Linked DNA regions of Lepisosteus oculatus. The protein of the gene in region 3 interacts with the protein of the main gene of each other region in a pairwise test. Links are inferred from orthologs where the notes say so. Each region holds a gene or a part of one and is shown on either strand. Other genes may lie near its edges.

Region 1 (9,426 bases), on a different chromosome or scaffold from region 3:
CAGGCAGTAAGCCCACGGGGGGCACAAACACAGTAAGGTCCGGTCTGCGCTGGCCACGGACGGGGGAATTTGAAGTGGATCGGCTCCGGAGAGCACACGCCCCAAGGGCATCGCAGTGGGCTCCAGAGCTCAGGTACGAGGGAGATGCATTTTATTTTTTAACAAAGACATCTTTTTTTTTATTGTTGTTGTCGTCATTTTTGTGAGAGGCCGCCTTTAAAGGTGCTATATAAAATCAAGTTTATTATCATCATCATCACCATCTGACTGCTCTTTCCATTTATGACCTATCCTTCCACCCCTCTTCTAACCCGAGGGCTGCGGGGGAACTGGAGTGCATCCCGGCAAGCAACGAGCGCAAGCCATCACAGGGCAGACACAAACACAAACTCACACCCATCTGAGCCACTTTTCCCAGAAGCTAATGAACCTCCCAGTCTGTCTTTGGACTACGGGGGGACACTTCGGGGTTCTCTCCAGGTGCTCCAAATTAAGGAGAATACACACACACACACCCCACACAGATGTGCCCCAGGTGTAGAATTGAACCCTGAGCTCCAGCACTGCGAAGCATCAATACTAACCACTGCGCCACCGAGCTGCGCTCTCAAATGTTGCTGCTGTAAAAGCGAGACATTTATGGGGAACTTACAAGGCTCTTATTATCAGCACTCTAGGGCCGGCCAGGATGAAACTGAAAGGTTTCTGAAAGGTCACAGCATCCAAACATCACATAACAAATGAAAACACAAAAAAATCACCTTTGGAAGAAAATTTAAACCAGTCACTTCCCCTCCCAAGCACTTAACTTGCTTTCTCACTCATGAAGCACTAAAATATACATTTTTGTGCGGCCTTTCCTCTTCCACAATTTCCCCTTGGATACGGCAGGTGTGGATGTGCTGGCACTCCAGATAAACTCAAACCGTGCCAACGGAACCACGATCCGGTATCCGCTGGGCTCTTGCGGTGCACGGTCTACCTCTGCCTGTCCGAACGTGTTTGGGACCAGCCACACCAGGGCCAACCTTCCCAGAAGCCAACTGCCCTACCAGCATGTCTGTGGACTGTGACAGGAAACACATGGAAAAACGAGCTGCAAACAGCACCCCAGGTCTGGATCTGAACCCGGGGCCTCAGCGCTGCTGGGTAGCAAAGCTAACCACTGTGCGGACCAATCCCTCTATTCCCTTCCAGGAAAAGGACCTTCATCTTCTCCAGTCTGATCTACACGGTACACGTATCAGGATAAGGCTGTTTGGTCCACGTGGCTCCTAAGGGCTCTTTAAACGCGAGCAACACCTGCAAACACACATTTCACCTCCTCCTTTTTGGATCAAAGGAACTCGTCCTCCTGCTGAGCTTCTAATTCACAGGTGTATAAAAAACAAAACTCAACAGCAAAGCACGTTAAGACACCCCAGGCTTTTCCAAACCTGCAGGCTGCATCTTATGAGCCTGTCGCAGGGACTGGATGTCCCAAACCAGGTGATTTTACCTTAAAGAAATTTGCATAGACAAACTGGAATTGGGATACGGCTGTGTATTTGCGTGACGGGCTGCGCAGCTGGAGCAGAAAGCTCACTCACCTGCGGGGTTGGCGATGGCGATGGGCAGCTGGTGCATCTGCAGGCCGGCGCTGCTCAGGGTGTTGAGGTTGATGGTCTGCAGGCCGGACAGCTGGGCGGCGTTGACCGTCACGGCGCCGGCGGGGCTCTGCGCCAGCTGGGGCAGGGACTGCACGGGCGCCAGGGTGATGGTCTGGGCGCCGGCGGGGCTCTGCAGCTGCAGCGTCTGCCAGCTGACCTGCCCGTTGGGGCCCACGGTCCGCAGCAGGATGGGGCTGGTGTTGGGGAGGGTCTGGAACTGCAGGTTCTGCAGGCCGTCCTGCGTGGCGAAGACCTGGCCGGTCGGGACGGCGCCCGTGTGGAGGGTCTGGAGGGTGGGGGTGCCCTGCAGGAGCTGCTGGGGCTGGATGATGATCTGTTGCTGCTGCTGCTGCTGTTGCTGTTGTTGTTGTTGTTGTTGCTGCTGCTGCTGCTGCTGGGAGTCCCTGTTATCCTGCGGGCTGCCCTGCAGCTGCACGGCGCCCCCCGAGCTCTGGTACCCCGAGACGAGCCCCCCGTTGCGCTGCTGGGCCTGGACCGTGGTCATCGTGGTGCCGCCAGCCGCGAAGCCGCTGGCGCTGCTGACCGACGGCGCGGAGGTGACGACCGAGCCAGCGCTGGAGAAGTACACCCCCGCCGCGCTGGACACGGCCTGCTGGACCTGCTGCTGCTGCTGCTGCAGGGAGGCGCCCGAACCCGCGTCCCCCGCCCCGCCGGCCGCGGCCTGGCCGCCGGCGCTGACCGGCAGCAGGGTGATGTTGCCGTTGAGAGACAGGGGCACGTTGGCCAGGAAGGAGCCCTGGTTCTGCAGGAGGTTGCTGCCCAGGCCCAGGTTCTGCAGGGGGATGGCCTGCTGGAGCAGGTTGGGCATGGCGATGAGGTTGCCCCCGCCCGCGCCCGCGCCCCCCGCCGCCCGGATGATCTGCTGGCCGCCGCCGGGGGACGAGACCAGCTGGAACTGCCCGGCGGAGTCCTGCTGCATGCTCACCTGGGCAGAGGCACCCGTCGCCGTGGCGAACTGCAGCTGCTGCCCGTCCACGGTCTGGAACTGGGGGATGACCTGGTACTGGATGTTGGGCATCACCCCAGACAGGGTGGTCAGGACCTGCTGGCCCTGCAGGGTGGGCGCAGAGGCCACCACGAACTGCTGCTGCTGCTGCTGCTGGCCGCCCCCGGCACTAGTGGCCACCGCCGGCCTGCCCTTGCCCGCGTCCCCCCCCAGCCCCCCGGCCTGGCTGAGAGTGGTGGCGCCCACGGAGCTGGGCACGCTGACGGGGATGAGCTGCCAGCCGTTGGCCGTGTGGGCGATCTGGGCCGAGTTCAGGTCCAGCTGCTGCTGGTGCTGTTGCTGCTGCTGCTGCTGCTGCGGCGGCGGCTCCGAGCCCGCCTGCTCGCCCTCGCCGGGAGACTCCATCCGGCTGCACGTCGCCGCCAGCAGAGCGAGCGGGGAGGTCTGCTGGGAGTCCTGCAACAGACACCGGGGTGGGTGGGGTTACCACGGCCGGCGAAAAGGGCGGCCCACGCGTACCCACCTCTCCACCCACCCGCGCTCGCTCCCCCCCCTGTCCGTTCCCCCTCCAGCGCCAAGCCTCCAGTGGGCTGTGCGGACCGCTCTGAGAGAGCGGAGCCTGCGACGGGAACACCCCGGCTCCGCACGCCCCGCTTTTCAAAACAAGCATGTGCGCAGGGCGAGAGCGACAACAAACCCGGCCCCCCATCGCCGCCACACACGCAAACACACCACCAGCCTCCCCGGGTCAAGCAACAACGCCGGAGCCGCCGCCGCAGACCGGCCGCGGTCCTCTCCCTCCCCAGAGCACAACAACACAGCTCTTCCCTCGCGCTCTCGCCCCTCGCGGGCCCGACGCGAACGCGGAGACCGGCGAGGAGCCGCCGCTCACCTGCCCCGAGCTCGCGCTCCTCTTCGCGAGGCTCTGAAGGAAAGCGGCGCCGCCGCTCTCGGCCAGGGCAGCCATCTCGTCTCGCGGCTGTTCCTGATCTGAGGGAGAGGGAGGAAAAACACAGCGCGGAAGGGGGTAATACTAGGCAGCCAACGGCGGAATATTAATTGAAAAGAAAAAGAAATCGGGTTTCCTATGTCGAATCCGCAACCGTGCCAAAACGACCACGGAAAAAAAAAAAGTATCGCTCCAACCAAAAAAAAATCGAGAATTGATCCGGGTGTACCTGGGTTTCTTTTTCCTCACATGTTTTAGCGTTTTGTTTTACGCCAGTAAACGCAGTGATCCACGGCCAGAGATTAAAAGCAATGTGGGGGAGATATTCCGAGTGTTATCTGAGATCATATTGTTTTTTTTATTCGTGCTAAATCTGCTCTTTGTTGTTATTTGTCGAAAGGAAAGTAGTAACGATGAACGGCTGTTCTTAAGTGTCCGTTTCGACGAGCTACCCCCCCGTTTAAACTCCTCTTCAGCCTGATCCAATTAAACATCGAACTTTTAGGGTCACCCCAGTCCTCAGTGAAAGTGGAACGACGGAAAACCCAGCTTGTTTAATCTTGAGGCTAAAAAAAACTTTAAAAAAGAACAGTCCTCACGAAACCCAGACCTCTTTCTACTTCAGCGGGTTTTTGTTAGAATACGACTTTATGGTTTTATTCATTATTTTCTAAAGTTGCGGAGCTTTTATATTTCGTTTTCTTTCTTTCTTTAATTTTCGTCTTTAAAACAACGAAAAAAAGTTTCTTACCACTCATTATGTTCTGACGGGAGGAGTTTCTTGGGGTTCTTGAGGGGCTGACATCAACTTAGAGACGGTGCAACCAAACCCCGCGGCGCCACAGCACCGAGGGAAGAGCGAAAGCCCTCTTCGCCAATCAGAGAGCGCCCTGCTACTACGACAGCCAATCGGATTTGTCTGGAGGATGTCTTTACGAGTTCAGTCTGGTTGTGTCGTTGGTCGTGGGTTTGGAATGTGTAGCGAGATGGAAGCGGAATTGTATCCAATCATCACTCTGAATGTCCGCTGAGTTGCCAGTAACATCCAATGGAAATGGAGCTTGGGGGCGGGTATTTGGGTGGGGTCAAGTTGGGTAGGTTGTACCGTTTACGGAACGGCTCAAAGTCTGTACAGGAGGGAGGATTTTCTTTTTGGCGGAAAAGGCGCCATTAGCAAACCGTGCTTGCTGTGGTTCTAGTATTTATGAAGCGGATGTCATCCTTTTCTTCCCTTTTCTAGCGTTTGGAGATTTTTTGGAAATCAGTCACAAATGATATTGCATTACTATATTATTACATTCTTTAAAAAGCGAAAATGGTCTATAACTGTTTTAAATACTGTTATTTTTTTTAAAATACAGTATCAGAAAGCTTTTTTATGCAATAACAAAACGCACCACTGTGGGTTTTTAGATACATGCATGTTGTCCCAGCCATTTTCAGTTCAATTAAGTACCTGGGAGCCCAGCCTCGAGGAAAACCAAAACAACCGGTTCAAATCTATATTTTAAAAGGACAGGCTTTCTAGTCCAGTTAATTAAGTTCATCATCTAACCCAGCTGTTTTCTAAAAAAAAAAAGCCAAGGTTCTTGTTCTGAGTTTGTTCCACTCTCCCGCTGCCCTTTGTGTAATACGAACGTAAGAAAGGAGGCTGATGTTTCGTGTTTCACAGAGCAACTCGCCTGCCTTTGGGCACTCCTCTGAAAGTGCAGACTGGCCATTTAGGAGTTTCACCACTCGCTCGCTGAGTGAAAGTCCACCAGGGGTAGGCAGGCTGGGGTTTAATTGTCCTGTCTGCCCCTCCCTGCCCCGGACACTGCCGAGGGGTAAAGCTCTGTACTGATCCAGCGGGAGTCCCGTCTACGATCCCAGTGAAACCAGCACAATCCAGCAGCACCCCGGCTCCTCTCATTGTGAACTGCGCTGTTGCCCCCTCCACCCTCGCACATACACCTGCAGAACGGAGAGGCAGCCCTGTAACCAGGGTCACGGTCAGCTCACACTGGCTGCTGTTTTATCTGCTGGGAACTCCCGTGTTTAAAAACATACGTGGTAGGTCCGTGTCCATGTAGACCTGCCCAAGGCAACTCGGTGAGCTTCCTCAGCCGACACCGAGAGAGCTACCTGCGAGAGCATTTAGATCTGGGGCTTCTTTACACAAAAGGGGGGTGGGGGTGTGGAACAAGCCACACAAACGATACCCTGACCTTTTAGAAGAAAAGATCCATGAATTACTAACAAACGTTCTAGATGTTCTGAATGGCCTCCTCTCTCTTGTAACCCTTCTTGAGCATGGGTTATGCATTAAGCATGAAGCATGAAGTAACCAGATAATGCCTTAACTCTTGCAGTGAGGACACTGCGGAAAAAGACACCCACTTTTCAGGCTCGTGTGCTACCTGACGGGTGCCAAACGCAACGACGTGATCTGGCCCGCAAATGTCCAAAGACCGTTTTGTCTTGTGCGGCTCCTACGCAGACACACACCTTCAGGAGTGCGTGCGAAACGCGAGCACGGTCCAGCTAGTGTATCACAGCTCGGTGACATCGTGGTCAGAGAGATGTTAAGCGCTGTGACAGCCGAGTCTCCGATACTCGTGCGGGGTTCTCTTTCCTGGGCGGGCGGATTATGAATGAGAGGCAGAGACCTCGCGCTCCTGCGGGCCCCTCCCTGTGCGGCGCTGGAGGGCTGGGAGAGCGGTAGGCGGCCGTGGGGGAGGGGCAGCGCCTGAGCCTGCGAGGGCAGGAGAGGGGGTGGGGTGCTGGAGGGTGTACCCAGAAGCACATGCTTTCCAACATGTAAACAGCGGGCTTTCCGTGGGGTGGAGTTGACGAGCGGGGGGTTTACCGACACAGCCTCCTCTCAGAGCTCTTCGCCAGCGGAGCCACGGTTATCGGGCTTTTATCCGCATGTGTCTTATGGGCTGTTTGTTTTTTATTCCAGTTGTGTTTGAAACGATTATTCTGTAGCCATTGTTCTCTAAACCAGAGGGCGATGGGCTATTTCTCCTCACTGAAGGATTTGCAGTTAAATAACCCCCTCCCCCCACGCCTCTGAGCGTGGTTTCGGTCTGTTGAGTACTGTGGTCGCCAAGTTGTGTAATGGTATTTTTTCCAAGGAATTCAAATCTTAACTCCGACAAACTGTGTGAACGCCACGTTTCTGGCCTGTTAACAGTTGAAAGGAGGCGAGAAAGGCAACAAATTAAAATGATAAGAAAGTATTTTTCCCCCAATGTGATCAAAGCGGTTCAAACTTAAGTTACTGATTGATCTAAATCCCATCAAGCGGAGGTTTGAATTCCAAGCGCCCTGTTAATTGGCGTCTAAGGGCGAGTCGATTGTGTAAAAATGCTGAAGACCTGTTCTGCATTCAACCTAGCTATGGCTTAACGTGGTAAAGGCTGATTTAAACGTAATAATTGGTACTGTCCGATCAAACTGAAGCATGCAGAGAGAAGAATTCATTAAAACTAAGAAATCGGGAACAACACACGTGAGACCTGCGTAGAAGACACTAGAAAAAATATTGAAAGATAGCCTTAGTGGTCTCCCAACAAAATTGGAGATAACCTATTGCATTGGTATATTCCCAAATGTCCAGTCCTGTTCTCTTCAGGGTCAGAACAGAATTTCTGAAGGTTTAAAGTTAGCTAGTTAGGACATCAGTGCTTTATTCCTGGCCGATTGATAATGGTTATAAACACTTCGCTCGCCGACAAGCCGCCTGTTATAAACTAAACAAGAACGCGCTGTGAATCTTATCGGATGTAGCCCCCCCGTCTTTCATTAAGATATGGAGTGAGAACTACCGTTATTCTTGATTTTCCATGTTGTCAAACATGTTATGGCTCTGTGATAATGCTGACGACGAGGCTTTCGATTCGATTTCCAAAATGTGCACGACAAAACCATTATTTTTTTAGAGTTCAACAAGAAGAGACGTGGAAACGACGGTCTGTAAACTTTCTTTTAAGACTAGCGTCTGCTGTCACCGTCTGGACATATGTTGGTATTACACCTCCAGGAGCTCCAGTTGGTACTCGAGTTACGTTGTGCTTAGAAGACAACGAAAATTCTAAATCATACTAATCCTTACGCTTATCTAGCTCTTTTTTTCAACAGAAAGCACTTTACATGTAGTGGGGACTCCCCTCCACCACCACCAATGTGCAGCCCCACCTGGATGATGCGACGGCAGCCATAGTGCGCCAGAACGCTCCCCACACATCGGCTATCAGTGGGGAGGAGAGCAGAGTAATGAAGCCAGTTCAGAGATGGGGATTATTATATATATAATAATAAACTTTATTTTATATAGTGCCTTTAAAGGTGTCTTCTTAAAGCGCTATTAGGAGGCCATGATTGGTAAAGGCCAATGGGAAATTTGGCCAGGATGCCAGGGAAACACCCTTACTGTTTTCAAGAAACGCCCCTGGAGAGTCCCCACGGAGAGTCGGGATCTTGGTTTTACGTCTCATCAGAAAGACGGCGCCTATTTGGATGCTTCACATTGGTGGTGGTGGAGGGGATCCCCATTACTCGTAAAGCGCTTTGAGTGGAGTGTCCGGAAAAGCGCTATATAAGTGTAAGCAATTATTATTATTATTTTACAGTATAGTCTCCCCATCACTATACTGGGGCATTAGGACCCACACAGGTGAGCGCCCCCTGCTGGTCCAACTAACACCTCTTTAAGCAACAGCCTTGTTTTTTCTCAGGAGGTCTTCCCCTCTAGGTACTGACCAGGCTCACATCTGCTGAGCTTCAGTAAGCTGCCAGTTGAGAATTGCAGGGTGATATGGCTGCTGGCGATAACTCAGTAGTAATAATCGAACGGTGGATATCGTGTTGTTTGAGCTAATCACTCATACTAGCAGTCTGCAAATGCAGATGAACAAACAACTATCCTACGATTCTGTAAAACGCCACAAATTGTGATATAACTATTATACAAATAAATTAATAGAACCAAAAATTATAATTAAGAAGATCTATTGGACATAACCTTTTAATTTCGGGAGATGCGTTAGGTTAGACCCCCTCTCTCCGTTTATATCTCGGTTAAAAATGTGAAATTGTTTCCTGTTCTTATATATTGTTCCCCCCCCGTGCAATAAGAAATGTACTTACAAAAGTCATAAAGGAGGATCTATACAGCCTTTTCTTTAAAAAAAAGGCGAACAACAACAGCCGAAACGCCAAGTTGCACCTTGGGAAATTCCCGGGCCAGCGCGAGCGCTGCAGGGCCGGGAGTCGCTCCAAGCCGGGGGTAAAGCTGCACGCGCCGCTGTACCGCTCATCCATCGCGCCGCTCTCTCAGTGAGCCTGCGGTTGAAATGCCGGATCATTTTTCCTTCAGCGCAAACCGAGACGGGATGAGGCGACCCCGTTAATACAACATGATGTTGAGGAAAAAAACATCACGATGCGAGGATGCCCAGAGATAAATTCCACTTTAATAAGCCGAGTGCAGTTATGTGCTTAGGCTCCTTAATCAAAACATTCCTCCCCATGCTGTTTTTATTAACCGGGGATGGAAGAAACGGTCACATAACAGACCAGAGCTCGCCGCCTCGCATAACAGTGAAGTCATCCTGGGTAATATTTCCCTTTATGTTATAAAAGTAGATTAAAAACAAAGCCAGACTCATTAGTAGTTATTAAAGTCTATGCTTACACACAGACGTATCGGGAATCCTGGAGTTTCATTATTTTTCAACCAAACCTCGCGCCGCAGTCTAGCAGGGCCCTCCGGCCAGAACCCATCAGCTCAAAGATCTTAAAACGTGAAATCTGGTGTCAGTGTATCAGAATGATGGCACCAGTGGAGACTTGCGTCAACCATTAGTCTGCTGCTA
Region 2 (10,154 bases), on a different chromosome or scaffold from region 3:
CAGAAACACAATAAATCACTGCAAGCTCTGGTCTCCTTTCTGCCCTAACAAAAAGCATTACAGTCCATAAAACTTTACAAACCTTCAAGAGTGGCAGACTAAGATAACCAGCCTGCTTATAAAACTTTACAACTCTACCCCTCTGCTATCGTGCAGAGATCACACAGAGGTCGAGTGACCTGCTACCCCACAGCACTCGCATTAATAAGGCAGCACAAACACAGTTAAAGAGGAGCTGCAGTCTCAATTTCTCAGGCCGGTTATTAAATCTCCGTAACAAAATAAATTAATTGATGGTATCACAAAATTTTACAAACTCAGAATTAAGCACAAAATTGTGAACTTGGCAAAAGGACTGTAGGTCCTGTCAGGGCAAGAGGAGAGTTTGTGAGAACCGAGACGCTGGCTGCTGTAATGACGAATATGACTAATGTAACACAATATACGAGCAAATACGTACAGCTCATGCAGCAGACATTCCACTGCAGAAATGTTCCAACGTCATCTGCATGCAGAGTTAATAAAAGGATTATTTGTTATCCAAACGGTTTTGAAGTCAAGAGCAATACGTTTGGTCTAAGGCCTGCTTCTTTACAATTTCATAAGGCCGCATCACGTCACGGGACACTTCATTGCCTCCTCCTGAATCGCAGAACATGGTGCTGCGCGTGCCTGGAAATGTCACCTGCTGTGTGTTTAAAACCTCCAGTTCACATCACAACTGTGGAAATTGAACTTTCATTGTGGAGCGAAATGCACTCGCCAATGCCGTTGTCTCTCCTGTACCAGCCTCGGTTCAGCTCAGCGGGCAGCAGGAGGGCCAAGAGGATGGTGGACACTGGACCTCGGCGTACCCTTGCCCGAGCTCATGGGTGCCCAGAGGGCCGGCCGGCCAGCCACCGACAGGGCGCGACACGGCTCTCGCTCCCCATGGCTGCACCCGCGTGGCAAGCCGAGGACGCCACGAGCTGACCTCGGCCGACGCCGCGCGCGAGCACGTGTGCCCCTGCAGCCCAGCTCTGCCCGGTCTCGTGTCTGGTCTCCCGCGGCGAACTCACAGCGCCGCACCCCACGAGGAGGGCGGAAACACCCACAGGGGCCCGTCTTTGAGACGCAGACCCTGCAGAAAGTGCGTGACGGCTCCTTCTGCTGCAGACAGAGTCTCTCTTCGCTGCGCCAAAACAGTGGCGACAGCAGAGCCCTCGCCTGACCCCTTGCTACAGTGAGCAGAAACAGATGGCTTCCCAACTGGTACCCACGGGCAAGAAAACCACAATTAACTTTTTTCGCTCTTTTCTCTTTATAAGGCTGACAAAGGAGGGCGGCACCGCAGATGTTTTTCTTTAAAAAACAGGTTCACTTTTCCTGGCTCCCACCTCAAGCCCGTCGGGGGAAGAGCAGGGAAAGTGGAGCTCGAGCACAGCAGCAGCAGGAGGGAGAGAAGTGGGGCGCCCGCCAGGCTGCACCCCAGCGAAGACCAGAAACAAGCCAGCAGCAGAAACCACACAGGGTCGGACAGGCAGACTCCACACAACTCCACATATCAGCCCGCCAAAGACCCCAGGCTGCGAGCACACTGGCGAGAAAATCACAATCAGCCTGACGCTTCCTCCTGTGGATCACACTGTATTCTAACACATCATCGCTGCCTGCACAGCTGTGGCACTGGACGGCCCACGTTTGGACAGAATGCCCTCTCGGTGCGTTTTCAGACGCCGCAGAAACACTGTGCTCTGCCGCCTGTGCCGATCCTCTCCGTCTCGGAGGAAAGGCCTTGTGCTGCGTGTTCCCAGCCAGCACAGGGCCGGGGGAGCGACAGGAGCAGCACGGCTCATGCCTGCGGGGGAGCCGGCCGGACCAGGCTCATGCTTTGTGGATTGTGGGAGACGAGCCCCACGCTGAGGCAGTCTCCATCTGTCAGCAGCACCCCGAGGTGTGCCGGCGCCAGGCCGCACCAGGAGCGCCCGGGTGGGACGCGCCGGACAGAGATGACCACACGCCGGGACCGGGCGCTACGTCACTGTCCGGGGAAACGGGCGGCGGGGAAGATCTGCATCCTCCAGGCGCAGGGGAGGACAGGCGGCAGGAATCAATTTCTACAGATCTGGTCACCCATCGCCCGACACCGCTGAGCGGCAGAAAAGCGCCCGGCTCGGCTGGACGGGGTCACGGCCGACTCGATCGCCAGCTCAGCCGGGCCTGCGCGTCCCGGCCCGTCTCAGACTTCCCGAACCTGCACCGGGCGTGTGGGTTTTGTGAAGCTCTTTGCCCGCGGCAGGCGAGGACGCCCCGGCGGGGGAAAGGGACAAGCGACGAGGGACCCCCGGCACCAGAGCCGCGCAAAAAACGCGCCGGTCGGCTACCAAAGGCGACTTTCCCTAAAAACGCTCGCAAAACCTGTGGAAAGCGGCTCTAACCAATAAAGATTAAGTTTGGATATGTCCCTCAGACCAATCAAACCTCGGACCCGATTCCACCAATCAAGGTTTCTAGGGTTGAGGCGCCTGTGAAACGGACGTCATTCCGGCTCCGCCATGGAAAAGGCCACTCCGTGCCAGAGAAGCGCACCCCGGAGCCAAAATGGCGGGCACAGTGACGCAGTTTCACCAATGCCTATCCGCTCCGTAAAGCGTTGCCACCAATAAGCGCCTCAGAGAGCGCGGAGGGAAATGGCGCCTCTGTTCATCTGAGAAACAATCAACAACAGCGGAGAGTGTCTCGGCGCTTCAAATAACCCCCGCAATAAATCCCACAACCCCAGAAACCCATTCATCTTTCTCGAAAACAACCATAATCAGTGCCACTGTCCTACTCACCGGCTGCTTTTTTCAGAATTTCGCGCTGAAGTCCAGCTCTGCCTATTATTTATTTTATTTTAACGGCGATGGGAAACAAGATGGCCGCGCAGCGAGCGCTCTGACGACTTCTCCCCTCGAGCGGAAGCTGGGCACGACCCCGTTGGAGTTAACCAATCAGACCTGCGAATAGCCGTCACGTGAGAGAAAGCCTGAAGGCAGCCGCCATGATGGGTTACGGCACAACAGGATAAACGCCGCCATTGCTGTTACCCTAACGTTTTGTACGTAAAAACAGAATTCTATTTCACAAAAAAGATAGCAACTTATTCAAATTGTGAGATTGATATGTCGTTTTAATATGCCTTCTTAAAAAGCTAGCAATTTCATCATTTTCCAGTACTATCGTACCACTCGAAATTAGGAGATTTGAAATGTTTTGCTCGATATTCAACACTAGGCGGCGCTGCAACGCTAAAACAAAACGATCCTGTCCGGTGTAGTAGGACAGACACTGAGAACATGTAAACCAAAGCACTATCACCGCAGGATACGGGCAGCCTCAAATATATTATTCAATCTCCTTCAGGTGAGACACAAAACAGTTAACCTGGTTCAGCCTATTGTTGCTGCCTGTCAATTGTGTAGAAACCCAACCTCATTGAAGAGATAGTTTGAGTGAAAAGTCATCTTCCCTTGTCAAATAGCTTCTTTAATTCACATCGATCACAATCAGCGACTGGAGGTAAACTGCGCTGGAGCAGCTGGTGTGAAGTGCTGTAGCTGCTGATCCAGCACAGCTCCCAGTCAGGTCTAATTGACTCGTTGTCAGGGGCTCCTCGTCAGGAACATCACCCGTTCCCCTCTGCACAGCCAGCAGGCTGAAAGAGCTCTTCTTGGGCTACAACACACACATCTAGCAGGATCACCTGCAGCTTAAAGCAAAATACCTACAATCTCAGTAGAAAGACACACGCAATTGTGTTTTTACATTTTGAATGACCACCTACTGTATCTCAAAAACAGAACAGTATAAAAATACCTAAAGCAGCAAAATTCATTTCTGGTCCTGAAGGCCTGCAGTATATTAGGTTTCACTGGTAATTTATAATCCTCACTGGATGCAGAGCTGGAAACAATGGTCATTAACCTATTAAGGGAGCAACTGATCCCAATCAGGTCATTAAGCGTCCAGTGGCCCTCCACTGCACCTGCTGCTGGAAGGTTGCCAGTTTGTATCCCGCAGCCAGCAGAGGAATCCTACTCCATTGGCTGACCCTGCACTCTGACCCCCAGCTTCTCTCCCTGTCTGTGTGTCTCATGGAGAGCAAGCTGGGGTATGAGAAAAGACAGATTCCTCATACAAGAAATTGTACATGGCCAATAAAGTGATCTTATCTTATCTAAGTTCATTTTACCCATTGTCCTTCTTTGACTCGTGAGTCAAACACCACCCTTCTGAATGAGCGTGTACATCAGGCCCTGCACGGTGGCCTGCTGAGGCTGCACCGATGCCTGTCTGCTCAGTTTGTGCCTGGTGCTGCGCTGCAGAAATGTCATCCCAGCCATGGCGGCTCAGTTCATTAAGACGCACCGTCTCCGAGCACGCGTGTCGGTGTCAGTGCAGGCACACAAACACCGTCTCCGAGTGTGCGTGTGTGTACGTGAGTGTATGTGTGTGTATACCTGTGTGTGTACGTGTGTTTATGTGTGTGTATACCTGTGTGTGTGTAAGTGTGTGTATTTGTGTGTGTACATGTGTATACCTGTGTGTGTACGTGTGTATACGTGTGTGTATTTGTGTGTATTTGTGTGTGTACGTGTGTGTATACCTGTGTGTGTACCTGTGTGTGTACCTGTGTGTGTATTTGTGTGTATATGTGTGTGTACGTGTGTGTATTTGTGTGTATATGTGTGTGTACGTGTGTGTGTACGTGTGTGTATACCTGTGTGTATACGTGTGTGTATTTGTGTGTACGTGTGTGTGTACGTGTGTGTACGTGTGTGTATTTGTGTGTACGTGTGTGTGTACGTGTCCCCATGTGGGTGTCTGTACAGCCTGTGCTTCTCCTCTCCGCAGGGGTGGGTCTGAAGAGCTCTGCTCGCTCAGCCAGGCCCCAGGCCCCCTCCTCAGAATGGACTTCACCAGACTGTCACTCTGCTATATGAATGGGTTCTGGAACTAATTAGCGAGCCGTCGCCCTCGCTCTCTGGCTGACCGCTATTTATAGATCCCCTGGTTGTCATCAACATCCTTGAAAAACAAAAAAATCAAATGAAAATGATTAAGAAATTCAGCAGGCTTGGAAAAAAAACTCACTCCAGGAACAGAAGTGCATCAGATGGACCCTGTCTTGTGCTTGAGTGGTGCCCTGATCAAAGGATCTCAAGACTTTCAAACATGCAGGCGTGTCATCCTCATCCTCTTCTGCTCTCCTCTCCTCTCCCTCTTTGCTTCCGAATGAAAAGCCTGCCAGCACTTTCTGAAACCTCCACTAAGGAGGGCCGGTGTTTAACGAGACTGGCAGGAGTGGGGTTGAGTTTTGCTGCCACCTTGCTGAACCCCCGATGGCCCGAGCCAGGTGTAACAACACACACATGTACACACAACACACAGACAACACACACAACACACACATACACAACACACACACAACATACACACAAGACACACAACACATACGTACACATTCACACACACAACACTGGGAGGCCGGAGGTCGCGGAGGGTGCAAGCTTTGGGCCGTGTGAGTCTGGAGGGAGCGCTCGCTCGCTGCTGGTTTCTTACACTCTGGGCTCGCGTGTCTCTCCTAACGAGCGGGGCGTCTCCGTCTCCTTCCCCCTGAACCCCAGACCAGCCTCCTCTTCCTGTCCGCTCCCATCACCTGCCCTGCAGACCCCAGCAGTCCCAGGACCCTCTGCCACCTCTCTCCGTGCCACGGCGGGTGAACGCACTGGACCGCGGGGTACTGGGACCCCACCCCAGTCTTTGGACAACCGTGGCCCCGAGTCCCTAGGCTATGGTGGACGGCATCCGAGAGAGGCGCGCCCCTCCTCTGTCAGGCCCTGGGGCGCTCGGACAGGGGACCCACAGGGTCCGGAGGCTCTAGTGACAGAGCCCAGTTCTTCAGCTAGCTCCTCCTTCCAGCTGGGGGACAGAGTGAGACTCCCTGAAGACTGAAACAGAACAACGTCTGTCTTGCAATCAAGACTGTGGGGTACGGTGAGGGAGCCCCAGGCGTCTCGCTCGGAGCACTCTCTGGAGTCTGCACTGGTCCTCAGATTCAGCGCTTTGGCACATTTTTACAGGAGCTGCTGTGCGCTGAAGAGATTATTTATAGATCATAAAGCAGCGAGGAGCCTGTAAATCGCTACAGGGGTCAAGACGAGGGCGTACCTGCGGCTCTTCTGAGTCACTTTAGCATCTTGTCACAAAGACGGCTCCGTCTTCCTGGTTCGACAGGACTGCTGCGTTCCTGGGGTCACAATTGCATCTATTACATTTCTGTGCAGTTATTACACAGGAATGTGTGCTGACGAGGCGAAGCCCTCATCTTCCCCGTGAAAGAGGAACACTGGAAGGCACCAGAGTATCTGATTGGCAGAGATGCCCGCACTGCAGCCATCCCTGGGGTTCCTGGGGCACCGAGTGTCTCCTGGGGTTCCTGGAAGGGGGGGGATCTCTCGCGGTTCTTGGTGGGGTGTGTCTCCCGGGGTTCCTGGGGTACCCTATGTGTCTTCTGGGGTTCTGGGGGGTACCGAGTGTCTCCTGGGTCTCTTGAAACCTCCAGAGGCCCATGAGATGGGAGCAGCTGGAACACTGGTCCACCTCAGCCGAGAGTCATTCATTATTGACACAGGTCATTAAGAGGTGGGAGAACCTACAGACAGGCCAGCCCTCCAGGGGCAGAGATACACCACCGAACAGCAGCAGACTCCAGGACTCTCCGGAGCCTGGGCGCGTCTCTGCTGCAGCTGCAGCACCAGCGGTCAGGAGACTGTGTCTGCGGGTTCAGTCCTGAACACCACTGCGCTCAGGAGCTCTCTCTCCCAGAGCCCCCAGGCGCTGGTCCTGGAAAACCTTGCCCTGGTCGGGGACACACACCTCTCAGGTGACGGTGGCACCAACATACACACAACATGCGCTCCTTATGAAAAAAAAAGCTCGTCAGCTAACCCACTGGGACGAGATCCTTCAGCCTGAATGTGTGATGTGATTCCCCCGATAAAGTGCTTTCTGCGGCGCAAGGGGGACGGACAGACCCGGCCGCTCTGGCGCTCGGACCGCCCGCAGCTGTGCCCCGGGTGTGCAGCCGGGAGGAGCCCCGACCCCGGTCTCGGCTCCGGTGCAGCACATCGCTGCGCTCAGACACACGCAGACGGGTTCCGACACGCAGCGCAGAGCAGGGGGACATTTCCATCGTGGGGGCGACAGGGCGGGGAGCGGGTGAGGGACAGGACAGCCGGGGCCAGAGGGCTCGGACCCCGCCGGACCGGCCGCTAGCGCGTTACTGCACATGAAGGCGCCGGCGCCCGTCCCACCCGGTACCGGCGCTCCGCTGGGTTATATGGGTCAGGCAGGTAACCATGGAGACGAGTGAGCAGGGAAAGGCGCTGCCTCGCGCCGGCCGCGCGCGCCCTGCCTCCTCCTCCTCCTCCTCAGCAGTCGGTCGGTCCCGCCCGCTCGTGGAGGCGCTCTCTCGCGCTCCCCGTCACACACTGTCAGCGTGGAGGCAGGCGGAGGAGACGCAGCAGAGCAGGACCGAGCCGGGGGAGAGACGGACGCAAGACGATGGCATTTCCAGCGGAGCAGTCCGGGCGCACTCCAGTCTAAGCGCTCCTGCGCCTCACTGCGTGCCCAGCGCGGCGGTTCGGTAAGTGTCTGGGCTCACGGGCACCGGGTTTCTACCAGTAAGAGAAACGGGGATGGCGATGCTACCGGTGGAGATGCTAGGACTGGATTTTGTAAAGATTAAAGAGCGTCTTAAAAGGACAAGGGTCCGCACTGCTTCTTTCACTGGTGAAGGTCTCTAAACCGGGGCTCTCCGGACGGGCTGCGCGTAGCGGGGCGCTGTGCCCCCTGGGGCTGTTTCGAACGCGAGATCCCTCTCGGGGTCCCGGGTGCCGGGTCTGGCTCGAGCTCCTCATTGGTATTGCCGGCTCCGTCTTGCTCCGTCTCCCCTCCCGCGTGCCGGGATCTCGGGAGCCCAGGTGCCCCCGCGAGCGCTGGGGGCTGAGCTGCACGATCGGGTCGTTAATTCAACCTGCTGTCTAATGGCGGAGCAACTGTTGCTCCCAGAAATTCACTCCTGCGGGCGGGGAAATGGCTGTACTGGGAATGCGCACCTCCCGATGCATTCATTACACCACAGCAAAGATGAGCGCGCAAGCAAATAAATAAAATTAACGCTCTTGCAAATAAATACCACAACCTCCCCCGGTTATAAAATACGACAATACGACTGTTTTGCAATCAGGTGTCTGCTTTCCTCTGACCAGCGTTTCAGTGAGTCAAGAAAGCCTCATGTCTTTATTCCACAGAGCAGATCAGCTCAGAAGAAATGGTTCTGTGCTGAACTGTACTGGTCCTTTGAAAAGGACGGCAGTCCACCCCACCCCGGGCGTGTGACTCTGCTCTCTCTGGCGCTGTGCTCTAAGGGCTCAGGAGATTCCTTTACAATTCTGCCCAGTTTGGTTTGAAATTGTCCTACAGTTCATTTTGAAGTCCGTTTCCTCCTTTGTCTGCTGCCCAGTGTGATGAGGAGACTGAGAAGCAGTTACACTGTCTTCCTCAGAGAGGGGAGAGAGGAGAGAGAGGTCTGTCTGCAGACCCTAACACAAACACACCCCTCCCCTACCCTAACACACACACAACCCTCTCTCCTACACTAACACACACACACCCCTCCCCTACACTAACACACACACACCCCTCTCCCCTACACTAACACACACACCCCTCCCCTACACTAAAACACACACACCCCTCTCCCCTACACTAACACACACACACCCCTCCCCTACACTAACACACACACACCCCTCTCCCCTACACTAACACACACACACACCCCTCCCCTACACTAACACACACACACCCCTCTCCCCTACACTAACACACACACACCCCTCCCCTACACTAACACACACACCCCTCCCCTACACTAACACACACACACCCCTCTCCCCTACACTAACACACACACACACCCCTCCCCTACACTAACACACACACCCCTCCCCTACACTAACACACACACACCCCTCCCCTACCCTAACACACACACACCTCTCTCCTCTACACTAACACACACACACACCCTTCCCGTACACTAACACACACACACACCTCTCCTCTACACTAACACACACACACACCCCTCCCCTACACTAACACACACACACACCTCTCCTCTACACTAACACACACACACACCTCTCCTCTTAACTAACACACACACCCCTCCCCTACACTAACACACACACCCCTCTCCTCTACACTAACACACACACACCTCTCCTCTTAACTAACACACAAACCCCTCCCCTACACTAACACACACACAACCCTCTCTCCTACACTAACACACACCCCTCCCCTACACTAACACACAAACCTCTCCTCTACACTAACACACACCCCTCTCCCTTACACTAACACACACCCCTCTCCCCTACACTAATACACACACACCCCTCCCCTACACTAACACACACACACACCTCTCTCCCCTACACTAACACACACTCCTCTCCCCTACACTAACACACACACACCCCTCCCCTACACTAACACACACACCCCTCCCCTACACTAACACACACACACCCCTCCCCTACACTAACACACACACACCTCTCCCTTACTCCATGCCTGATTTCAGAGCTCATTATCTCTGTTTCTGTTAGATTTCCACCTCATTCAGCTTTCATTCTTGCTCAGTTCCTGCAGACATCGCCCTGAGATCCTGACCTCTCCCTTCACCCAGTACCGGCTTTGATTTGATTTTTATTCCCAGGCCTTGAAAAAATTGGTTGAAGGCCACATCCAACAGCCCTGTCCTGATGAACTCCAGAGATACCGCATTGTAAGGGCTGGGAGAGTTCTGTCACAATCAAAGACAAGCGCTATAGAATTTGCTTTGTAGAGTCAAGAGAGAATATTTTGCGTGAAAGTCCCATATTTGGTGCTCTGTGTTCTGAACTGGTTGGAGTGGAGCTGAGTCAGTGTGTTGTTGGAGCACGAGGGGGTCGAAGTCAGCGAATCCAGCGTGAGGGCAGGAGAGCGTCCTCAGCCCTGAGCAGAGACAGGGTGCAGGGGGACTGTATGAATCACAGCAGCACGACAGAAAGAGCAGA
Region 3 (10,162 bases):
CCACCAGAGTCTGAGAGAGGGGGAAGGGGAGAAAGGCAGGGAGTGAAGCGCTGTCACGTGACGCCAAGGGAGGCCCTAACAGGGAGCCCAGAGGAACCCCTAGAGAAGCAGAGGAGTCCGCGCCTCCCGCCTGCACTTACCGGGACCTGCAGGGCATGGGTCTGGATCGGGGTGGTGAGCGTGGTGATCCCGGCCGGGTTCGGCACCGCGGACAGCACCTGGGACCCGTCGGGCTTCAGCGTGGTCAGAACCAGGGAGTCCGTCTTGATTATCTGCGGCTGGTGCACCAGCACCTGAGAGAGGGCACGTCACGGCGTTAACAGCGCCCACACCGACGACACGAACGCCCCCTGGCCTCCCCCTCTCCCCTGTGGAGGTACTGACCGGGACCTGCTGGACCTGCTGGACCTGCTGCGAGACCGCCTGCACAGTGGAGGGCGCCGTGGCCAGGGTCTGGATGGTCTGCGGGCCTGCCTGCGTCAGCACTCTCTGGTGCTGGATGGCCATGGGCTGGACCTGCGACGAGGTGACGATGCTCTGCACCTGCGGCTGGAGGACTGGGGGCAACGTGGGGGGGGAGGTTAGTGAGGCAGGGCACTCGCTGCAGGGCAGCGGACACAAACTGCGCTGGGCTCTCCTCTACACCTGCGCTCAATCCGTAGTAATATCCTCACACTTCTACAGCGCTCTCCTGCACACGCCACTCACAGAGCTGGACAAGTACTGGGGATCCCCTCCACCCTCACCAGTGTGTACCCCCACCTGCATGATGCTCCAGTCCTCTCCCCACACACCAGCTCTCAGTGGGGAGGAGAGCAGAGGGATGGAGCCAGTTCAGAGAGGGGGGTTATTAGGAGGCCATGACTGGTAAAGGCCAGGGGGAGATTTGGCCAGGACACCGGGGTTACACCCCTACTCTTGTCGAGGAACGCCCTGGGATTGTGAATGACCACAGAGAGTCAGGACCTCGGTTTGACGTCTCATCTGAAGGACAGTATACTGGGGCATCGGGACCCCCACAGCGCTGTTTCGTTCACACTGGACTTGTCTGCCTGAAGAGGACGATGCCTGTGCCCAGCGCACCGAGCGAAGGACAGCGACACCGCCAGCAGGGGGCGCCCCAGGAGCAAGGAGGGCACGCGAGGCCGAGCCGAGCCGAGCCGAGCCGAGTCCTCACCTTGGAATCCACTCATGGGGCTCTGGTGGTAGATGACGGGGTGCTGGACGATCCGCGACTGGGACGAGCTGGTCAGAGTGGGGGTGAACATCACGGTCTGGGTGGGAGCCTGCGTCTGCACGGGGAGCCCCTGGGTGTAGATGGGGACCGACTGGGTCTGCACGGTCAGGGTCTGGGTCTGGACCGACACCGCGATGGGCGGCGGCGGCGCCTGCACCTGCTGCGGCCTGGGCTGCAGCAAGGGGGCGCTGCGGAGCGGGGCCGGGGCCGGGGCCGGGGCCACAGTCAGAGGCGGGGAGCCCTGCTGGACAGCCTGCACGGGGGTCTGGGGAGGCGTGAGAGGGAGGGACTGGTGCAGGGAGGGGGGCAGCTGGGACAGGGGCACCGCCGGCCCGCCCTGATAGACCGGGCTGGGCTGGGGGGTGGGGTTGGTGCCGGGGGGCTGCTGCTGTGGTGGGGGCTGCTGCTGCTGGTAAGGAACCCCCGAACCCCCAGTCTGCAGGCTGCCGCCCAGCTGGTCCTCGAACAGGTCAGAGAAATCGCCCACCTGGTTACTCACGAACTGGAGCATCTCTGCGGAGAGAGAGGGGACACAGAGAGGTGAGGAGGGCGGCGGGTCAGTGCGTCACGACGTGTCTGGAGCCCCACAGCTCCGCGTCAAGAACCGACTTGGTCATCTGCTCGCTGCTCGGAGGAGGCCTGAAACAGGCCACCCTGTCGCGTATCGCATGGAGCTGCGGCACCCCAGCAGGTCGTCTGTCCTGCAGAACTGAGCACAGGGTCAGAGGTCACAGCTCACTGAGCTCTTCACAGACACCCTACAGCACAGGGTCAGAGGTCACAGCAATTCTCACAATCACCCTACAGCACAGGGTCAGAGGTCACAGCTCACTGAGCTCTTCACAGACACCCTACAGTACAGGGTCAGAGATCACAGCAATTCTCACAGACACCCAACAGCAAAGGATCAGGGGTCACAGCAATTCTCACAGACACCCAACAGCAAAGGATCAGAGGTCACAGCTCACAGCAACCTTCACCGACACCCTACAGCACAGGGTCAGAGGTCACAGCTCACCCTGCAGGCTGACAGTTCTTAGGGTTTGTGCGAGACCTGAACAACCTGAAATGAGCTTCAGGCGATGAAACGGCTCAAATGTGTGACAGGTACAGGCCACAGACAGCCAAGAGCTTCAGATCAGAACACGGGGGCTGATATCAGAGACGGACAAGAAGCATCAGCAGGTTCTGAGGCAACACTGGGACAGCAGGGTCCCCAGCAGGTCAACACAGCCCGGGCTGCAACAGGCCTCACTGGCACAGATTCAAACAGCGCTGCACGGTCAGGGCCAGCCTCCACCCCCTCCTCTCCCCCAGGAGCCCACGTCACAGTACCCGAATCCTGGCGCCCATCCGGGAGGCCAGTCCGGGTTTTACCCCCAGGCAGACGTAGGTGTGATTGTCAAACCCGCCACCTCCGCGGGCCACTGACAGCTGAGTGACCTCGCAGAGAGGAGGGCTGGGTCTGCTCTCCCTCCCGCGAGGCTTCGTACTGGTCATCATGAGCCCAGGGGTCCTTCAGCTGGATGTGGCTGTGCAGGTTTGCAATGCAGTTCAGTTTTGCATTTCATGTCTGTGGATTTAATATGACCTCCAGGAAGCGGCTTCACTGACACCCAGCAAGGCGGCGCAGTGCGCGGAGAGAGAAAGACACAGACACACAGGTGGGACCGATGGGATCCGTGCAGCAGACCGGTTCAATCCCGGGCGATGTCCGCTCACTGATGCGGACGTCCGAGAGTGGACAAGCGCTGATGACGCTGCCCAGCCTGTTCGCTGCACGGCTGGAATGCAGCTACGTGTTCACAGAAACATCTGAGTGCAGCCCAGCACGGCGCCCCGACTGTCTCCGGCAGGACACACGCTGATGAGCAGGCGCTGGGCCTGGACACTGCTCACTGCTCACCCCATCACTGAGCACAGCACTGCTCTCGAGTCACAGCAATCTCCCTGTGTTCACACACAACACTCACACACTGGGCCTGAACACTGCACACTGCTCACCCCATCACTGAGCACAGCACTGCTCTCGAGTCACAGCAATCTCCCTGTGTTCACACACAACACACACACACACACACTGGGCCTGAACACTGCACACTGCTCACCCCATCACTGAGCACAGCACTGCTCTCGAGTCACAGCAATCTCCCTGTGTTCACACACAACACTCACACACTGGGCCTGAACACTGCACACTGCTCACCCCATCACTGAGCACAGCACTGCTCTCGAGTCACAGCAATCTCCCTGTGTTCACACACAACACTCACACACTGGGCCTGAACACTGCACACTGCTCACCCCATCACTGAGCACAGCACTGCTCTCGAGTCACAGCAATCTCCCTGTGTTCACACACAACACACACACACTGGGCCTGAACACTGCACACTGCTCACCCCATCACTGAGCACAGCACTGCTGTGTTCTCACACAACATACACTCCACACTCACACACACACAACCCCCACCTACACTCACATTCAATTCAAACTCCATATTAAACAGCAGTTCACACAGACACAACACAAACTCCATGATTACAAACACACTCGAAACAAACGCGATTCACACACCTACACGCAACACAAATTTCACATTGGATAGCAATTCAGACAGACTCGACAAACTCCACGCTTACAACACACACGACACAAACAGCTCAACACCGAAAGACAAACTTCACACTTTACACACACACACACACACACACACGGGATGCAGAATGAGGCAGGGAAGCGGTCTTTAAACAGCTCCTTAAATACTCGCCTAAAAATAACACCTACACCACATTAGAGCATCCCGGCGCTACCAGATCATTAGCAATAATCCAAGCCACTCACTAGAGAGAACAATTCGTGTTTCATCACAACTGGAAGCAAGCCCAGGAGAGAGGGCTCCGCTCAGGTGAGACGGTCTCGGACTGTACTGCCCGGTACCCATCGGGGCTCAGATCCGTGGCAGACCGGACCGGTACCGGGTTAAGGTTACGCACACACGGACGGACGGACGGACGGACGGACACGGGGCTCTGTCTTCCTGCGGAGGTCGGCGGCTCGGCGAGACCGACTCACCGTCGATGTAGCCCAGGGAGAAGTCATCCCCGAGTTCGGAGAGAGTCGGGTCCATACTGTCGACCGCCGGCAAGAACTCTCCCTCCATCGTCTGGGCAGGACGGGGCTGGGACACCCCCCCACGATCGGCTAGGTCTACCGTCCCCGGCGGGTGTCAAAGCGTGCGATCCGCTTTCGAACAGAACAAGGCGGGCTACAAGAGCGCCTTCGGCCGGGACGCGAGAGCTGTCAGAGGGCTGAGCACCATCCACAAACCCCTAGGTGGCCATCTTGGCTGCCGCGGTGACGTCATTTACAAACAGTGGAAGGCCGCCAGCGGGGATTCCGATTGGTGGATCCCCGGCTGTTGTTGTCATGAGACCAGGCCCCCCCAGCCAATCGGCGGGCTCCGGCCGCCGTGGTCTGATAGTACGTCAGCGATCAGACGCTTTCGGCTGCTTTGCATTGGCCCCGCCTCCCCCGGGGCGGTGGGCGCGGCCCGAGCGCCGATTCTCCATGAGCGGCTTCCGGGCGGCTCGCTCTGCCTTCTGCATGAGGGAACTCCTCCGCGGTTGTTCATGAATGACATTTAATATTTAAGTTCTGTCATTCGGCTAACCACGGGGTTTTTTATTTATTTGTGTTATGTAATTCATTCCGCCAGTCAATAGTTTCCCGTCTCCAGGGATCTTTTAATGATCTGGCCCTGTTAGTCTACATTTAAACCTTAAAATAAAAAAAGTCCTTGTTTTCTTTCAGCTCGTTGAACTGGTAAATGCAACGGGTCAGCAGCTCCTACGACCGGCGTTCAGCCGTGTCGGGAGCCGATGTGAGTTTGGTGTTTCCAGACTCGGATGTGCATGAATTACAGATGCCGAACTGACTGGTCTGGTGTCTTCTCGCCCGAACTAAGCGGTACTAATCACTGTGTCAGTCTTCACTAGCGCAGACAACACCCGTGCAAGATTTGAATGAATTGCTGCTGCTGTCTTAAGAAACATACTGCACATGTGTATGACTTCTGATCGTGTGTAAGACATCTGCGCAGGAGCCTGAAGGAGGACAGAGGATTAGACCAGTATATTGAAAAGACAGGACACTTTGAATATCCCAGTGTTGGCTGCACCTGTACATGCAGCGTGTCGTGTTTCTGTGCCGAACGGTACCCATGGGAGTCCAGCTCTTTGACTTTCCTGAAAAGCGCTCATACGTAAACAGCGAAACATGATCCAGAGATGATTGCAAGTTTGGAAGCACATTTAAAACTGAGAAGGGGAGGCACTTCTTTACATAGAGGGGGGTGGGAGTATGGAACAAGCTGACCAGCCACGGCACTGAGGCTGATATCCAGGCTTCTTTCAAAGGGGATCAAGCAGCTGGATAAGATCCTGGGATGATGATGATGATGATGATGATAATAATAATAATTGCTTACACTTATATAGCGCTTTTCTGGACACTCCACTCAAAGCGCTTTACAGGTAATGGGGATCCCCTCCACCACCACCAATGTGCAGCCCCACCTGGATGAATTAAAAGCTTACATTTACCAGTCTAGGACACAGGCTGGATGGGCTGTTGGGCCCCTCTGGTGCGTGTATTACAGTCCTGTTTCAAGACTGGAGAACACAGACAACGGGCAGTGGCCTGCTGATTGAGTCTTGGCCCACGAAAGACACCACGAATGCTCCAGAAATACTTTTATTTGCAAGTCTGCCAACGCTTTAAAATGCCAGATACAAAACATGCAAGTTTTAATTTAAGGCACAGTGTCGATTTTTTATAAATCACCGCCATCTCTGAGCAGGCTGGTTCAGGCACTGCAAGGTAGTACTAGCTTGTAAAAGTCAAATAAAAAGAGATCTACTGAGCAAAGCACTCGGACAGGCTGCTGGCTGAAGGGCAGCTGCTCTATTGTAACGACAGCTGAGGAAAGGGGGCAGGTGTCTGTAGTTCAAGCCCAATCTGTAGACGCAGATCTTCATCAGCCCGAACTGGAACCAGGCGGAGTCCCGGCGCTTGCAGAGGGGGCAGGAGCCGAGGTGTTGTGGAGAGACAGGTGCTTCGTACCCTCCGGCCCTCTCACTGATCCTCGCGCCCGGGCCGGCCGCTCCTGTCCAGGTGGAACTCCAGGGACTGCCTCTCCGTGTAGGGGCCGTCGGACGCCTGCGAGCCCGGCCTCACTCTCTCCTTCACCAGCCTGAACGTCAGCCCCCCAGCCAGCGCGATGCCCGCCGCCGCCTTGCCCAGCTCCGCCACGGCGGTCAGCATCTTCGCCGCCACCCCTGCGGTCTGCAGGGCCCCCATCCCGGCTGCGCCCGTCTCGCCCTGGACGCCCCCTGCCGCCATCGTTGCCCCTGTGGCCTGTGCGGCGGTCACACCCCCTGATGGTAGCCCCGCCCCCAGCCCCGCTGCCCCTCCCCCTTCTGCCATCACTGCCCCTGTGGCCTGTGCGGCGGTCACACCCCCTGATGGTAGCCCCGCCCCCAGCCCCGCTGCCCCTCCCCCTTCTGCCATCACTGCCCCCGTGGCCTCTGTGGCGGCCACACCCCCTGATGGTAGCCCCGCTGCCCCGCCCCCCGGCTCCACTCCTGCTGCCGCCAGCGCTGGCGCCCCCCCAGCGGCACTGGCAGCCGCCAGCGCAGCCCCAGCGCCCATCACGCCCCCGACCCCGGCCGCCACGCCCACTGCGGCTGCCCCCAGCTCCGCCACCGCCCCTGCTGCCTGCACTGCCGCCCGCGCAGGCCCCGGCGCCTCAGCCCCCGCCAGGGCCCCCACTGAGCCCCCCAGCACCACCCCCGTGGCGGCGCCCGCGGCCACCGCCGTCTTCCCGGCCGCCGCCGCCACCAGGGCGCCCACCGCCTTCCCTGCCGCGGTGGCCGCCGGGACCCCGCACACCTGCCCGGCCGCGAAGGCGGCGGCGTTCCCCATCACCGCGGCCCCCGCCGCCGCCGCCAGGGGCACCGCGGCCCCGCACAGCGCCCCCACCACCGCCCCCGCGGCCCCGGCCGCCACCAGGGCCCGGATCCTCTCCAGAACCAGCTCCGACAGCTCCGCGTCCCTCCGGAACCTCCTCCTGGGGGCCCGGCCCAACGCCCCGCCTCCCCCCGGCTCTGGCCCCGCCCCCCGCCCCCACTTCCTCTTCCTGGCGGGCTCCCGCCCCCCCTCCCGGAGCATCCTGTCCTGCTCCGCCCGGATGGCGGCCTCCGCCTCCTCGAACAGGCGGCTGCTGTAGTAGCGGCCCCCGTTCTCCCGCACCAGGGCCTCCACCTTTCCCAGCAGCCCCTGCACCTGCCGCCGGTCGCCGGGGGCCCTGTTGTCGAGGACGTGGTGGCGGCCGCCGCACCAGGCCAGCAGCGCCCGCAGGGGCGGGGGGGCCGTCTCGCGGAGGTACTCCTCGACGCCGCGCCCCTCCAGGTCGTCCCCCCGGGTGAACAGCAGCAGTGTGTGCGCGGCCGCCCGCGCGCCGAACAGCCCCGCGACCAGACGCGCCGCCCGCGCCTCCTCCTCCGCGAAGCGGCCCACCGGCACCGCCAGCAGGAAGGCGTGCGGCCCCGGCGCCGACAGCGCCACGCAGCGGGCCAGCTCGGCCCGCACCTCCTCCGCGGGCCGGCCGGGGTCGCACAGGCCGGGCGTGTCCACCACCGCCACCCGCCGCCCCCGGCTCCGGGCGCACGCCTGCGTCACCGAGCGGGCGCTGGCCTCCGAGCGGAACGCCCGCCGGCCCAGGATGGTGTTCCCGGAGGCGCTCTTCCCTGACCCCGTCTTGCCCAGCAGGACCAGGCGCAGCTCCGCGGGATCTTCCTCTTCCTCCTCCTCCTCCTCCTCCTCCCTCCTGGCTGGAAGACGGGAGGAAGACGCGCAGTGAGGCTCAGGCCGCAGCGATTTCCTGTCTCCCCGGTCACCCCAGCGACGCCACGCCATCCCCCCAAAAAGGCAGGCCCGGAATATTGTCCGAGCGCCGCTGACCGCACACGCTGCCCGGCTGGGAAGGAAGCCGGAGATGTGGGAGCACAGTCCCTCCTGGGGTAGCCTCTACAGGACAGATCTATCCAGTCGCACCCGCAACCTTCCAGTGGTGCAGGCAGCTCGAGGCCAGTCCTGCTTCTGGACACACTGACCCTCCAGGAGCAGGACTGGACAGCCCACAGACACACTGACCCCCCAGGAGCAGGACTGGACAGCCCACAGACACACTGACCCCCCAGGAGCAGGACTGGACGGCCCTGGTGTAGAGAGACTGGACAGCCCACAGACACACTGACCCCCCAGAAGCAGGACTGGACAGCCCTGGTGTAGAGAGACTGGACAGCCCACAGACACACTGACCCTCCAGGAGAGAGACTGGACAGCCCACAGACACACTGACCCTCCAGGAGAGAGACTGGACAGACACAGACACACTGACCCCACAGGAGAGAGACTGGACAGCCCACAGACACACTGACCCTCCAGGAGAGAGACTGGACAGACACAGACACACTGACCCCACAGGAGAGAGACTGGACAGCCCTGGTGTAGAGAGACTGGACAGCCCACAGACACACTGACCCCCCAGGAGAGAGACTGGACAGCCCACAGACACACTGACCCCCCAGGAGCAGGACTGGACAGCCCACAGACACACTGACCCCCCAGGAGAGAGACTGGACAGCCCTGGTGTAGAGAGACTGGACAGCCCCCAGACACACTGACCCCACAGGAGCAGGACTGGACAGCCCTGGTGTAGAGAGACTGGACAGCCCCCAGACACACTGACCCCCCAGGAGAGAGACTGGACAGCCCTGGTGTAGAGAGACTGGACAGCCCACAGACACACTGACCCCCCAGGAGAGAGACTGGACAGCCCACAGACACACTGACCCTCCAGGAGAGAGACTGGACAGCCCACAGACACACTGACCCCCCAGGAGAGAGACTGGACAGCCCACAGACACACTGACCCTCCAGGAGCAGGACTGGACAGCCCTGGTGTAGAGAGACTGGACAGCCCACAGACACACTGACCCCCCAGAAGCAGGACTGGACAGCCCTGGTGTAGAGAGACTGGACAGCCCACAGACACACTGACCCCCCAGGAGAGAGACTGGACAGCCCTGGTTTACAGAGCTGCTGCCCTGTTCTCGGTTACTGAGCAAACGCTGTTGTCCGGTGTTGGGGGGCAGGGACACAGGTGGACCGGCTGAAGATGAATTTGGGAGAACTGACGCGCAGGGGAGACGCCGAGTCGTAGAGCGACGCGGGGGCGGAAACTGCAGCCGGGACACAGCCGGTCCTGCGACCTTGCTTAGTGACCCGAGGTCGCGTTCAAAAGCAAAAGCGAAACGTCGCTCAGACTCCGGAGTTAGAGACCTTAGTGGCCTCCACGGACTGCCCGACAGCCGGACATGCCCACAAAAGTGACGGAAACGGTACTTCATCACCGCTGTCTTCGCGCAGTTACAGTATATGAGTGCTGTCCTGTGTTATCGGTCACATTCGGGGACGCCTCTCGGATGGTGGTCTTCCGAGGGTCCGCGGCCAGCTGACGGGGGGGCTGAGGTCACTGTTAGAGTATTTATTTATAAACTTCGCCTCCCCCCCAAACTAAGAGCAGGAACAAACCCCTTTATACAGGACCCCAGCGCCGGCTCGGGTTGAAAACCTGAAACCATAACTTTTTTGTTGCTGTTTTTAAGGTGGTGTTTTTTTCCCCAGCGAGGGCTGACATCACGCCCTCTCGCGTCATGCACTGCGCTCACCGTGTGGACACCCGTCTGTGCCGCTTGGCGTGTAAATCCGACCTCGGCCCCGCTGCCTGCGGTGGCGAGCGATTTGACAGTTTCGCAGATTTATTAGTGGTGAGGCACGTAAAATCGTGTTCCGAGG

What was found.
Region 1: the proteins of srebf2 (region 3) and sp1 interact in binary tests that used the Homo sapiens proteins (3 or more experiments, as listed by UniProt). The link is inferred for Lepisosteus oculatus from reciprocal best matches to the Homo sapiens genes SREBF2 and SP1.
Region 2: the proteins of srebf2 (region 3) and nfyc interact in binary tests that used the Homo sapiens proteins (3 or more experiments, as listed by UniProt). The link is inferred for Lepisosteus oculatus from reciprocal best matches to the Homo sapiens genes SREBF2 and NFYC.

Annotation. Positions count from the first base shown.
Region 1 is NC_090696.1:17,808,173-17,817,598, forward strand, and holds the start of sp1 (transcription factor Sp1), read right to left. Parts: upstream 4,506-9,426; 5' UTR 4,324-4,505; coding exon 4,317-4,323; intron 3,607-4,316; coding exon 3,509-3,606; intron 3,073-3,508; coding exon 1,590-3,072; intron 1-1,589. UniProt on the Homo sapiens protein: Transcription factor that can activate or repress transcription in response to physiological and pathological stimuli.
Region 2 is NC_090706.1:719,387-729,540, forward strand, and holds the start of nfyc (nuclear transcription factor Y subunit gamma), read right to left. Parts: upstream 3,857-10,154; coding exon 3,838-3,856; intron 2,924-3,837; exon of another isoform or gene 2,817-2,923; intron 1-2,816. UniProt on the Homo sapiens protein: Component of the sequence-specific heterotrimeric transcription factor (NF-Y) which specifically recognizes a 5'-CCAAT-3' box motif found in the promoters of its target genes.
Region 3 is NC_090707.1:38,960,949-38,971,110, reverse strand, and holds the start of srebf2 (sterol regulatory element-binding protein 2), read right to left. Parts: upstream 4,625-10,162; 5' UTR 4,404-4,624; coding exon 4,316-4,403; intron 1,751-4,315; coding exon 1,178-1,750; intron 558-1,177; coding exon 385-557; intron 294-384; coding exon 141-293; intron 11-140; coding exon 1-10. Other genes in the region: uncharacterized protein, read right to left, coding at 6,377-8,133.